3 linked regions of the Macaca mulatta genome follow. The protein of the gene in region 2 interacts with the protein of the main gene of each other region in a pairwise test. Links are inferred from orthologs where the notes say so. Each region holds a gene or a part of one and is shown on either strand. Other genes may lie near its edges.

Region 1 (4,097 bases), on a different chromosome or scaffold from region 2:
CATTACGGATACTCTCTGCTTCTGTAACCTCCACCCTTCCACCAGGGGATGCTCCTATCTGCTCACCAGGCCGTGGTCATCAAAGGCCCCTGCACAGAAGTCCTGATACAGGTCAGGATCCAGAGGTAGGTCCTCATCTGAGAGTGGCTCAGGCGTGGCTGTAGCCTCAGGAGGCTCCTTGACTGCTGATGATGCCACTGCTCCCTCATCTTCACGGATGCGCCCTAACTTCTGTGATGGCTGTGGCTGCTGTTGGGTGGGCAGTGGCCGGCGGGGCCTTGGCAGGGACTCTGAGGGCGTCACTGGTGAGAGCTGCGGGGCAGAATCTCAGGACTGGCCCTGACCGCCCTGCCCGCATGCCCCGCCCCACCCTGGGGAGCTGGACTCACCGAGGAAGGGAAGTACTTGTACGATTCCTGTGCCGGCAGGAGGAAGGCCCAGGTCAGCCCCAGGTGGATGGAGGGCGGCCTTGCCCTAGCCCCACCCACCTGGCCTGGCCTTACCTCCCCAGACACACCTCCCCACTACCCCTTACTACCAGGAATGCTCGCCCCTGTCTTATCTGTACTGACGTGCATGACCAACTGGAAACACCTGACCCCACTCTGTCCACCCAGGGTTGGTGGGGGTTCTGCCAGCCCAGCATACCAGCTCATGCCCCATTCATTTGGACATGACAGGTCCCTTCCCACCTGTCTAGATACAGTCAGGCCCAATCCCACCTGGCTTAGCCATGCCTAGACTACACTAACCATGCATGGACCCACCAGCTCTCCCATACCTGACCCTACCCAGCTCTGTCCATGCTCACCCGGGCCCGCAGCTGGCACTGGCGCAGCCGGCACTTCTGCCGGATCTTGTTGGGGCCCCCAAACTTCTTCATGTCCCGACAGAAGTCACAGTGACCACAGTCCTCAGTGCGCCGACATGCCTCACACTCACCACACATGCGGGCTGACCGTTTGATCTGCTGCTGCTGCTGCTGGTGATGCTGGAGGAGGGGGCCCAGAACAGAAATTATGGACCCAGGCAGGGCTGAAACGGAACCACTTTACACATCTACTCACTTTATGCAGCCACTCACCTGGCTGGGTGTGGCCACCAAGGGCTGCGGCGAGGATTTGTGGGGCGAAGCAGAGCCCCGAGCAAGCATGGCCCCAACCCCTGTCCCTGACCCTGCCCGGCGCTGCAGGTCTGGATCGGGGACAGGCCTCTTGCGCCCTCCACCCTCATCCCGGGGCTCACTGCCGTCCCGCTCATTGCCATCCCGCTCCCGTGACTTCTTGTGCCGATAGCGAATCTCTAGTTTGGGGTCTTTCTCTGTGGGGCAGAGAGTAGGGCCAAAGTGAGTGAGCACTGGAGGGCCTGAACGGTCCCAAAACCTCTTTCTTCCTCTTCTCTCCCTTACTATCCCACCCACCTACTCTGCACCCCTGTCCAGGGCAGAGCTGCCTCTTCCCGTGGAATCTTCTATTACCACTCACAATGGAGACCCCATTCCAGCTCACCACAGACGTGTATCACTACTCCCCATGACCCCCCATTATGGCTCCTCCTCCTCCCTTGAAGCCCCACCTGCCTTCCCTGTCCATCCATGGCCCTCACCTCTGCACTCCCGGCAGTACCACTCCCGGATGGCCTTGGCCATCTTCTCAGTGATCCGGATGCAGTCCCCATGGAACCACTCATTGCAGTTGTCACACCCGCTGCGGAGGATGGGGCAGGCGGTGGAGATGTGAGGGGCGCGGCCCATCGGCCTCACCCCACCCTGCTAGTGTCTGCCCCGCCCACCTCTCCCGGGCTCACATCATGAAGCAGTTGATGTCCGGTTTGCGACAGATGCAGTAGATGGGCGCATTCTCTCCATTCTCCGACTTGCTGTCCTCCCCAGCATCTGGAGGTTCTGGGTCTGAACCATCTCCCTCCTGCGGGATACCCCCATTACGGATCCTTAAACAGCCCCCACCGTGGCGGCTTATCCCATTACAGCTCCACCATGGTCAGCAGGGATCCCCACTCTGCCTGCAGATTTCACATCGGGGCCCCCCAAAAACCTCTCCATCACAGTCCCCACTGACCTCCATCCCTTCCCCTGACATCCTATTACTTTGCTCCATACTTCCCATCACGCACCCACCGACACCCGCTCCCTGCGTCCACACTCGCTAATGGGCCATCGCGATCCTTCATCGTGGCGCCCTCACAGACCCCGCGTAATTCACTGCGGACTTCCCATCGCGGTCTCTACGCACCCCTCCCTGTTTACCTCATAGACCCACCTGGCACCCGCACCCACCCCCAGTCGCGGCTGTCCACGGATCCCCGGACACGAACTCCTCGTCACGGCTCACTACAGACCACCCAGTGTGACTCCTCACAATCCCCGATCACGGTTTCCCACGGAACTGCCACCCGGAGTCCCCACTAAACTTCTATTAAGGACTCCCCCACCGTGGCTCACCATAGAACTCCCAGATGGTTCATCATTCTGCCCACAGACTCCCGCCGTTCAGTCCACAGACTCCGGTTACGGCTCACCACAGACCCCTGAGTCGGCCGACAGACCCCACTGTTGCCAACCCCACCAACCTCCACCGCCGAACCCCTCCCTGAACCCGGTACTCACCATATCTCCGCTCCCGGCGCACTCCCTCGCGACCCCCGCCAGCAACCCGCGAACCTGCACAGACCACTCGGCGGCGTCCCAGGCGGTTGCAAAGGCGCCCACAACTACTTCCGCTTCTGGTCACGCCTCCCAGGCAGCGTACTCCTATTGCGCAAGCCCCGTGCGTCGTCTCCGCCGCAAACCAGTAGGTCGCTCGCCTAGAGCCCCCGAAGAACCCTCAGGCGCCGCCATCTTGATTATCGTATCCGTATGGTGGCCGAATCCACACGTTCGCCGGGAACATGGCAGCGCTCAATTGTGGCTTTCCCGAGGGCGTCGCCACCTTGTCAGTAGAGTCCGTACGGCGGCTGCTAGTACGGCCTGGACGTACAGGCAACATGGCTGCACCTACTGCGTGACTTCCTCATAGATGCCGTCATCTTGGAATCTGATTCCGTACGAGGGTCGAATTCGTACGTTCCTTGGCGACACATGGCGGCGACCTATTTGCGGATTCCTCAAGGGCGCCGCCATCTTGGTGGTTGATACCGTATATTGGCAGCTTGTCAGGCAGAGAGGTTCACAGGTAAAGCGGCCGCTCCCGAAACGCTACCTGGATCAAGTTGTATTCATTCCTCCATTCTGTCTCTTTCCCCTTCCACATGTATTGATGGGGTGTCGGCAGGCTGTGTGCCTTGCGGGGCGGAGGAAACCAGTTCCTCTGTCGTCTCCGACTTCACCTGCCACCACTCTTTCCGGCTCTCACTCCTCCCACTTGTCATTCTTCTGCCAGGCCTGGCACGGTTCGGCTTCTATTTATTTTATTTTTATTTAAAAACAATTGTTAAACTAATATCAAATCTTATTTTAGTTATATAAGCTGCACAATAAGCCTAAGCACAGTTTACATTGATTTATTGTTTAGCATTTAGAACATTTTCAAATATTATTCTAAATAAAGTTGCAACGAACATTCTTAAACATAGATCTGTATGCTCATACCTGATTATCTCTTGTGAAATGTGATATACAAAACGGTGTCACTCTGGTTAACAGCTGTAAAATGGAGCCTGGAAGCCATTCTTTCTAATTTTTATTTATTTATTTACTCATTTTTTGAGACGGAGTTTCGCTTTTGTTGCCCAGGCTGGAGTGCAATGGCGCGATCTCGGCTCACTACAACCTCTGCCTCCCGGATTCAACCTATTATCCTGCCTCAGCCTTCCGAGTAGCTGGGATTACAGGCTTGCGCTACCACGCCCGGCTAATTTTTTGTATTTTTAGTAAAGACGGGCTTTCACCGTGTTGGCCAGGATGGTCTGGATCTCCCGACTTAAGGTGATTCGCCAGCCTTGGCCCTCCAAAGTGCTGGGATTACAGGCGTGAACCACCGCGCCCGCTCCGCCTGGAAGCCATTCTAAGGACTCCTCGCAAACTTGCAAAAAGGAAAACAAACAAACCAAAACTAAAACACAATAGGAACTTGCCTGGA
Region 2 (3,953 bases):
TTTAATTTAGATAAATATTAAATATAATTTGCCAGTCCTAACAATTAGAATTCAAAAATAATTTTGTTATGTGTGATAATATAATTATGGCAATTCTGTGTTTTTCTAAAGTCCTTATCAGTTAAAGATGCTAAACTAACTGTAAATGAAACGTCTTGATGTCTAAGATTTGCTTTAAAAACTCCAGGGGAAAAAAATAAATGTTAGAGGGGTAATAAAACAAGATTAGTAAAGTGTCAGTTCATTTTACTGTTCATTCTCCTTTGTGTATGTTTGAAAATTTCCGTAATAGGAAAACCAAAGCAAATAAAGAAATGAAACAGATTAGTAACACTCCACATAAGACCTACTGCAGCAGAAACACTGCATTTTAGAATATGAACAGTTTGTATCTTTAGAAGTGTTATAATTCAGGTAATGGTTGACAGAGTTACCGAAAGTTTTTCACATCCTCAGCTAAAAAACCTTTAGAATTATCTCCAAACTTCAGTCCGACAGGACACGCAAACATATGAAAGCAAAAAATGTCCAACATTCAAACAGTTTCCAATTATTCACACTGTGGCTCAAAGAAAGAAAAACTTAACAACTATCAACAGACCTCTGCTTCCAAAAAAATGTAATCAGCAATTTTTCTAGGAGGCAAAAGCAAAGGCCCCAGTCTATTAACTTGCACCATTGCAGGCATCCCTAGTTCCAGAATCCTTTACACCTGAGTGCCAAGACATTCCGCTCAGGTGTCACCCGCACCACTTTTACTTACTTCTTAGATTTTATAAGTTGGTTTCTAAAATGCTATGATCTTGGCCCACATATATTAGGGGAGAGGACATTTTTATCTTCTTCTGAAGGTTTATTTGGGACAAAATAAGCTTTAAAAAGACAGAAATGCATAAAGCCCAGATTTTACATATCCATTCCAAAAGAATACAATAAAGTCCCCAAAAGAAGTATACAAGGAGCATCGTTAGGATCTTCCATAATTATTTCAACATCATTAAAAAGGTTGAAACTCTGAATTCCAAAATTTTACTTTTGTTATGGAAAAGATATTTACTGGTTAATTCTACAAACATCGCTGCAGTGAGAACTACAAACAGCGGTCTACAATTTAAGAACTTGATGCGCCAGTCGCAGTGGCTCACGCCTGTAATCCCAGCACTTTGGGAGGCCGAGGCGGGCAGATCAGGAGGTCAGGAGTTCGACCCTAGCCTAACCAACATGGAGAAACCCCGTCTCTACTAAAAATACAAAAATTAGCCGGGCGTGGTGGCGCGCGCCTGTAATCGCAGCTACCCAGGAGGCTGAGGCAGGAGAATCGCTTGAACCTGGGAGGCGGAGGTTGCAGTGAGCCGAGATCGTGCCACTGCACTCCAGCCTGGGAGACAGAGCAAGACTCCGTCTCAAGGAAAAAAAAAAAAAAAGAACGTGATGGCTATAAAACAAAAAATACAGTAAGATGTTCTTTGAAGTTGAACAGCTTGAAAAATAAATAAAACTTTATTAGAAGTCGGCATCATCAAACAATACTTCAAGTTTACCCTTGAAAAGAACAGAACGAAGGAGAAAGGCTGTCCTCAGCTCCTTCTCTAAACCCGAAAAGCACTGAGGACAATCAACCCACTTTTAGTTTCTATTCAAATGATCTCTTTAAATCCTTTTGGAATTAAGCACCAAACTTGTAACTAGTAATTGTTCGTGCACAGCACGTAGAAATTTTAACATCAGCAGAATGCAGACAGTTGAACAATTAAGATTTTCCCATCTAAAGCCTGACATAATAGCAATTCATAACCACTGTGTGAAATCGGAAATCTAACACTGTACGTCTAAAGTCATATGCCAGTGTTGTCCAACAAAACTTTTACCAATAAGGTGTGTACACACACCCACACAAACGCATGCTAAGCTCTATTTTTTACTAATAAGGTGTACACGCGCACACTAAACTCTAGCCACAGATTCTCTAAGCGAGGAATGCAGGTCGGTCGGGACTAGTTCACACCTCGCGAACCTGCGGGGTGTGTTGGGGCGGGGTGGGGAAAGGATTCCAGGTGAAGCAGGAGATCAGCCGGAACAGCCAACTCCGCCCGCGGCCCTCAAAAGTAGGCGGCGCAGGGAGTCTCCGCCCCCTTCGCCACCGGCGACTCAAACCAAAACAGCTGGGTTTCTCTCCGCAGAGGCAAACCCCAGCGTCCTTCTCGGACGCGACCTACGTGTTTTCTCAGCTTACTGCGCCGGTAACACCCACAGGGACCTCAAAACAGTCATCCCAGAGTTGAGCCTTGGACACCAGAAGCTTTTCCTTCGGGGGTCGCCAGCGTCACTCGTCCCCAGCCAAAGGGCACCCGTCCCACACGCCTCCCCCAAATCGCGAAGACCTGTCCCGCGGGCCTCCCTCCGCGTGGGGCGGCCACCCGTTGCTATTCCAAAACTCTACGGCTGATCCGAGTCGCCCACACCCCCGTCACAATCGCAGTCCGGAAGGGAAGGTTTGTTCTCGGGAAGGAAAGCCTCGTCACCACTGAGACCTCTCCCGAGACCGGCCAGGCCCCTACAGTACAGGGGCAGAGGGGTGTAGCACGAGCCCTAAAAGAGATGCAGCTGGGGTCCGACCCGCACAAGGTGCTGGGGTGGACCGGGGAGGCGCCTTACCCAGTGGAAAGACTCCCGGACCAAGGGAGAAAGTTACACAGGCTTCCGATCCTGATCCGCCATCAGCCGCTGAACCTCTTCCGCCACCACCGCCTACCCCCAAAGACCGGCTACACCTACCCTCACAGCCGACAGTAGGCCTTGCGTCACTTCCGCCCACGGGGCGGTCTCTTCCGCCTCCTGGAGGGTTCGCCCCGCCGCTCCGCGACGACACGCCCCCAGCCTACTGCGCCGCGGGACGCGAAGCTGGACCCAGGCGTGCCTCCTCTCGCAGGCCGAATGGTTCTCTCCTTCGTTCGTCTTTGCCATTTTCGCTCAGCAAGTTAATCGCAGAAAAACAATGCGTCTGGATTTACATTCTGATTGTATGTTATTATTTTGACATACGAAATGGGGAAACACACCAGAGATTTAAGTAACTCAACCGCGATGTGGAAAGGGCAGCTCAGAGGTCCATGAACAGTACCGTGTCCCTGCCTGCGTCTCAGTCGGCCTAAACTAACCCACCGATTTTATAGATAAGGAAATAGCCAGAGAAGCAAGGGAGTTACCACACGGCTAGGGCTGCAAACACCTAAACTCCAGGATTGTCTCTCAACTCCTGGCCCAGTCCTGTGCTTTTTTGACTACGAAGTTTTGTTCACTGAAAGCTCCTAGGAGCCTTTCAGTTCTAATGCCGTCTGATTCTATTTGTTCTCGCTCCAGCAGAGAGGCCTCTTTTCTACCCGCATTTTTGTGAGTTACCGGCTTTTGTTAGCCATATCATTTTCCGTGTGTGAATTTTGTCCCGCGTTCTGTTATTTCTAAAATCACTTTTGCCTTTTGTATGTATTGCCTTCCTATATTAGACATTCAGTTTGAATCCTAACTTCACAGAAGCCAGTGTGTCCCATTCGAATTCATCATATTCGTCTGTTGCCATAAAACCCTGATAAAACTTGCAATAGCACCTGAAAGGTACGTAAATTAGATCGCGTTAAATGTTGAAGCACATTCTAAATACAGAACATTCAAAATTATCTTTCATATACTTTCATCTTTACTTCCAGTTATTTCAGAAGACATTAGCTTTGATAATACAGGTTCTCAGTATTTACAGACTGATTTCTTTCCTATGTATTGACATTTTTTAACTTGATCTTGTGCTGGGTAGTATACTTGATCATAGAATTTCAGAAGAACCTTAACAGGTCATTTAGTCCCAGTCTCCTTATTTTATGGATGAAGAAAACGGTGTGAATAATCAACTTAAGTTATCACTCGCGTTACTGGTAGCAGCCTTCTGGTAGTAGAAATAA
Region 3 (3,982 bases), on a different chromosome or scaffold from region 2:
TGCACACACTCATGTGCGTGCATACACACACACACACAGACACACTTCCCCACACAGAGCTGCCTGGTCTAGTGGTAGAGATGGTGAGATTTGAACTCAGTGGATTAAATCCTATCTTCATTATTTCCTAAGCTGTGTAACATGTCTTTGGTTATTCAACCTCTGAAGACTTGTTAGAAGAATTTGGGGGTGTCTGGGTAACACTCAAAACCCTCCCACGTCTCCAGTATTGGCTGGTAAACGTTTAACACCTGGTTCTACAAAAAACAGACACAGAAACACACCAATGCCCTGATTTGTAACGTTTGTCAATTTCCTCAGTGTCAATGTTCTCAGCGCCGCCCATTTCCAGCCCCCAGCCTGAAAGATGTGAGGAGATTTCCGGGGTCGATCCCCTGAGTGTGTGCTGGCCACTTGCTTAGGTGACAGCCGGGTCCTGGCAGTGCCCCGAGGGGTCAGACCCCCGCTCTCCGGCCACTGCATGTGCTCTTCCCGCTTTGGGGACCGCTCAGTCCCCACCCCCTTCCTTACCCGCTTTGCAGCTTTGCTCAGACATCACCTGCTCCAAGAGGTCCTTTTCTGAAAGCCCCTCTAAAATTCCAGCCTTCCCTGATCCTCTGCACCCATCCCCGCTGTTTTTCTCCTTAGCACCAACCCCACCCTTCTCACTGGATCTTCTATTTATTTGCCCCATCGTCTGGGAGTGGGAGCACCGTGAGAACAGGGGTTGTCTATTCCGTTCAGTTCTGTGTCCCCAGAGCCTAAGGCAGGGCCTGGGATGTGCTGTGGGTATCACTGCATGTGCTGAGAGGGGAGAGGAATCCACATCCATGCCACACTTAGCCAATCCTGGCACAGTCCTCTACAAATGCAGGCTTTGATCACCAGGCTAGAGATCAGAAAGGGGACGGGTGTGAACCTGGGGCTGGAGAGCTCTGTGATCCACAGGCTCAGGGGCAAGTGGGAAGGTGTCCTGTTCCCTCTAGGAGCTGGCAAGGGCTACCAGCAGTGCTGCTGTGTCCTGGCCAAGCTTAGCTGCCCCTGAGCAGGCCCAGGAATGTGAACAGACAGACGCATAGGCTTTCCCGGCCTCCCGCCTCTGGGTGGGGCCTCCTGTACCCACACCCAGCGTGGGAACTGATGCCGGGTAGGCACCTATGAAAAATAGGCCACAGACCAGGAAGGGCCACACAGCTAGCCCTGCAGCCCAGCTCAGCCTCGGGGCCCCAGGGAGGACTCAGCCTGGAGCCGGCAGAGCCAGCTCACAGCACTGGGTGCAGAGCCCAGGCACAGGGCAGAGGAGCACTGGCTCCAGGACTGGCCCCGAGCTCCTCCCCCAGCCCCATTTCCTGAGGCTCAGCGGGTTCCCTCTCTGGCTACCATGTCCTGGCAAGGGAGGACCACTAGGGCCACCCACCACACCTCATAGGGCCCTACCAGGGTCCCACTGCATGTCCTGGGCCTGGACAGAGAGAGTAGCGTCTGAGATGCAGCCAAAGGGACCCCACCCCTAGGCCAGCCTGGCCCCCTCTGCCTGCCCACTCCTCTGAGGCAGTGTGGTTTCCAAAACCAGCACCTGTTGTCTGCAGGGAACCCTGAAACTCTGCAGGTCAGGAGAGGGTATGGCACGAGCCTCCTGCCTGGCGGGGGCATGTTGGCAACGGGGTCTGCACGGCCACGCCAGCTGCTGGACCTAGGAGTGCAGGGCAGGGGTCCTCTCCCCCAGACGCTCCTAGGGCCTGCACATAGCATCCAGCCTGCCTGACAGGGGTGCCGTGGGGGTTCCTCCTCCTGTTCCCTCAACCCAGCACCAGGCACATCTGAAAGGGGCTGGGCATCTACCCTGTGAAGACCCTTAGTCCTACGGGGGCCTGGGCGGGGGGATGGGCATGGGGGTTCTTCTGCTCCTTCCACGACGGAGAGGTGGCCTAGTGTGTGCTCGGGAGATGCCTCCTTGCTGCGTGGCCTTGGCAGGCTGGGAGGAGGCCCTGCGTGCACAGAGGGGTTGCTGTGGACAGGGCGGCGGTACCCAGCAGCAGCTTCCTGCGGGACACCCCGTCAGAAACAGGCCGCGGGTAGGTGGCCGGCTGGCTCACTGCGCACCTGAAGCCCCTTACTGTCAAGTGACACGACCAGCACGACCCCAGCCCCACTGCAGCGACAGAGACGCGTGCGCCGGTCCCCTGCGGGAGGAGGTCCCGGGAGGCCCCGCCCGCGGCCCGCCCCGCCCAGCTCGCTCCCGACTGACTCAGTCCTGCGTCGCGGTTTCGCTCTCCGCTCAGACTTTCGGCCCGATGAGCTCCCCAGGGCGGGGCAGTCAGCATCCGCTCCTCACCTAAGGGGGTCTGAATCCCCCCGGGCCGAGGGGAAGACCCTGAACTGCAAGGACACGCGGCACACACGCGCGGGCAGAGCCACGCTCCCAGACCCCAGCCACCGCGTGCGCCGCGCTCACCGTGCCCGGGATGTAGTGGAAGAGCTTGTTGGCGGCGGCGTCCCCGCTTCCAGCAGCCTCGGGGCCCAGCAGGCCAGCCGGCATCCGTGCGCCGTCCTCTCTGGGGACAAGGCAAGGGAGCTCGTGGCCCCGGAGCGGGTGGGGGAGCCCCGTGCCCAGGTGGCCACACCCACACCCCGCTCACCTGTTTCCCTTCAATGAGGGCTTTCTGGAGAAGGAGGCCCGGAGCCTCCTGGGGGCCTGAGGGACACAGTGGCTGTTCCCCATGGCCAGAGTCGTGCAGGTCGGCAAGTCTGGGTCCCTGTCCACAGCCTCCTGCCCCCGCCTCCCACAGGCAGGCGGGGCTCTGGGACGTCCCGCCCGTCACCCAGGGCTGGGCGGGGGTGGAGCCATTCTGGAAGAGGCCTCGCCCCTACCTGAGCCATCCAGGTCTCTGCCCTGGGCCCTCCACACCGAGGGGCCAGCCTTGGGGCGATCTCCCCTCTGGCCCAGACAAGGCCTCCAGTGTGCAAGGGGCACCCCACTTGCCTGTGCTCAGGCTTTGTGAAATCGGGGCCACCTTCCAGCACCCCCCCAACAATGTGCACACACATCCTGTTTCCATCTAAACCCTGGCCGGCCTGAGTCACCGGTGACTGCAGGGAGGGCTGAGGCAGGAATTCCAGCGTAGGAGACAGTGCCCAGAGCCACCCCAGCCTCCCCTCCTGCCTGGGCTCCCTCACCAGACCCATCAGGGTCCTCAAGGCTTAAGGGGACTCTGGAAGGCCACGTGCCACCTAGGCGGCCAGGACAGTCAGCATACGCAGGGGCAGTGCTGTCCTCCCCCGCCGCACCCCCAGAGCCCAAGACGTGGCGGGGACCTCAGCCTCAGGACCCAGCTCAGGCAAACCCCACCTACAGTGGGAGAGACTCCATGGCCCCCACCCTCCCTGGATGCACAGCTCTGCCTTGTAGCCCCCAGACACCGGTGCAGCATCTCAGGCCACCCGCCCACGCCCCTCACCCTGGACCCCCAGATAGGACCCAAAGTTGCGCAGCTGCCCCACAAGCCAGAGAGATGCTCAGCCTGGGAAGCCCCAGAAATGTGTTTATTGTTCAAGTTGGGATTGTATTGCTGTGTGGGGCCCGAGTGCACACGTGTGCACCCACTACAAGATCCAGGGAAGACGGCACAAAGCAGACGATGACAGGAAGGACACCTGCTCCCCACCCTTCCCGGGACCCCGCCGTGTACAAAATTCGAGCTGGGGTCTGCAGCTGCTTGGAAAGCCCCAGGGCCTCTGGCTCCGCGGCCTGCAGGGTCTGAGCAGGCAATGGCCCTGGGGCAGCGAGGCCCCGACCTGGTCACTCCCGGCTGCCCGCCATGCAGGCAGTGGAGGGGAGGACGGGCGGCCGCAGCACTGCTCACCCCTCAATAAATAAGATAAATAACTAAATAAATAAACAACTAAATATAGACACGAAGGAATGGACGCAGAGACGTGAACAGAAGATGCAAGATGTCCCTGGTGGGGGCCACGGCCCCCT

Evidence for each region.
Region 1: the proteins of TAX1BP1 (region 2) and CXXC1 interact in binary tests that used the Homo sapiens proteins (3 or more experiments, as listed by UniProt). The two-hybrid records come from large-scale screens. The link is inferred for Macaca mulatta from reciprocal best matches to the Homo sapiens genes TAX1BP1 and CXXC1.
Region 3: the proteins of TAX1BP1 (region 2) and PLEKHN1 interact in binary tests that used the Homo sapiens proteins (3 or more experiments, as listed by UniProt). The two-hybrid records come from large-scale screens. The link is inferred for Macaca mulatta from reciprocal best matches to the Homo sapiens genes TAX1BP1 and PLEKHN1.

The regions. Positions count from the first base shown.
Region 1 is NC_133423.1:42,016,644-42,020,740, reverse strand, and holds the start of CXXC1 (CXXC-type zinc finger protein 1), read right to left. Parts: upstream 2,801-4,097; 5' UTR 2,630-2,800; coding exon 2,627-2,629; intron 2,548-2,626; exon of another isoform or gene 2,465-2,547; coding exon of another isoform or gene 2,462-2,464; intron 1,926-2,461; coding exon 1,807-1,925; intron 1,707-1,806; coding exon 1,606-1,706; intron 1,321-1,605; coding exon 1,085-1,320; intron 992-1,084; coding exon 812-991; intron 417-811; coding exon 390-416; intron 313-389; coding exon 67-312; intron 1-66. UniProt on the Homo sapiens protein: Transcriptional activator that exhibits a unique DNA binding specificity for CpG unmethylated motifs with a preference for CpGG.
Region 2 is NC_133408.1:100,601,378-100,605,330, forward strand, and holds the start of TAX1BP1 (tax1-binding protein 1), read right to left. Parts: upstream 2,801-3,953; 5' UTR 2,656-2,800; intron 1-2,655.
Region 3 is NC_133406.1:239,720,841-239,724,822, forward strand, and holds the start of PLEKHN1 (pleckstrin homology domain-containing family N member 1), read right to left. Parts: upstream 2,801-3,982; 5' UTR 2,723-2,800; coding exon 2,640-2,722; intron 2,556-2,639; coding exon 2,456-2,555; intron 1-2,455. UniProt on the Homo sapiens protein: Controls the stability of the leptin mRNA harboring an AU-rich element (ARE) in its 3' UTR, in cooperation with the RNA stabilizer ELAVL1.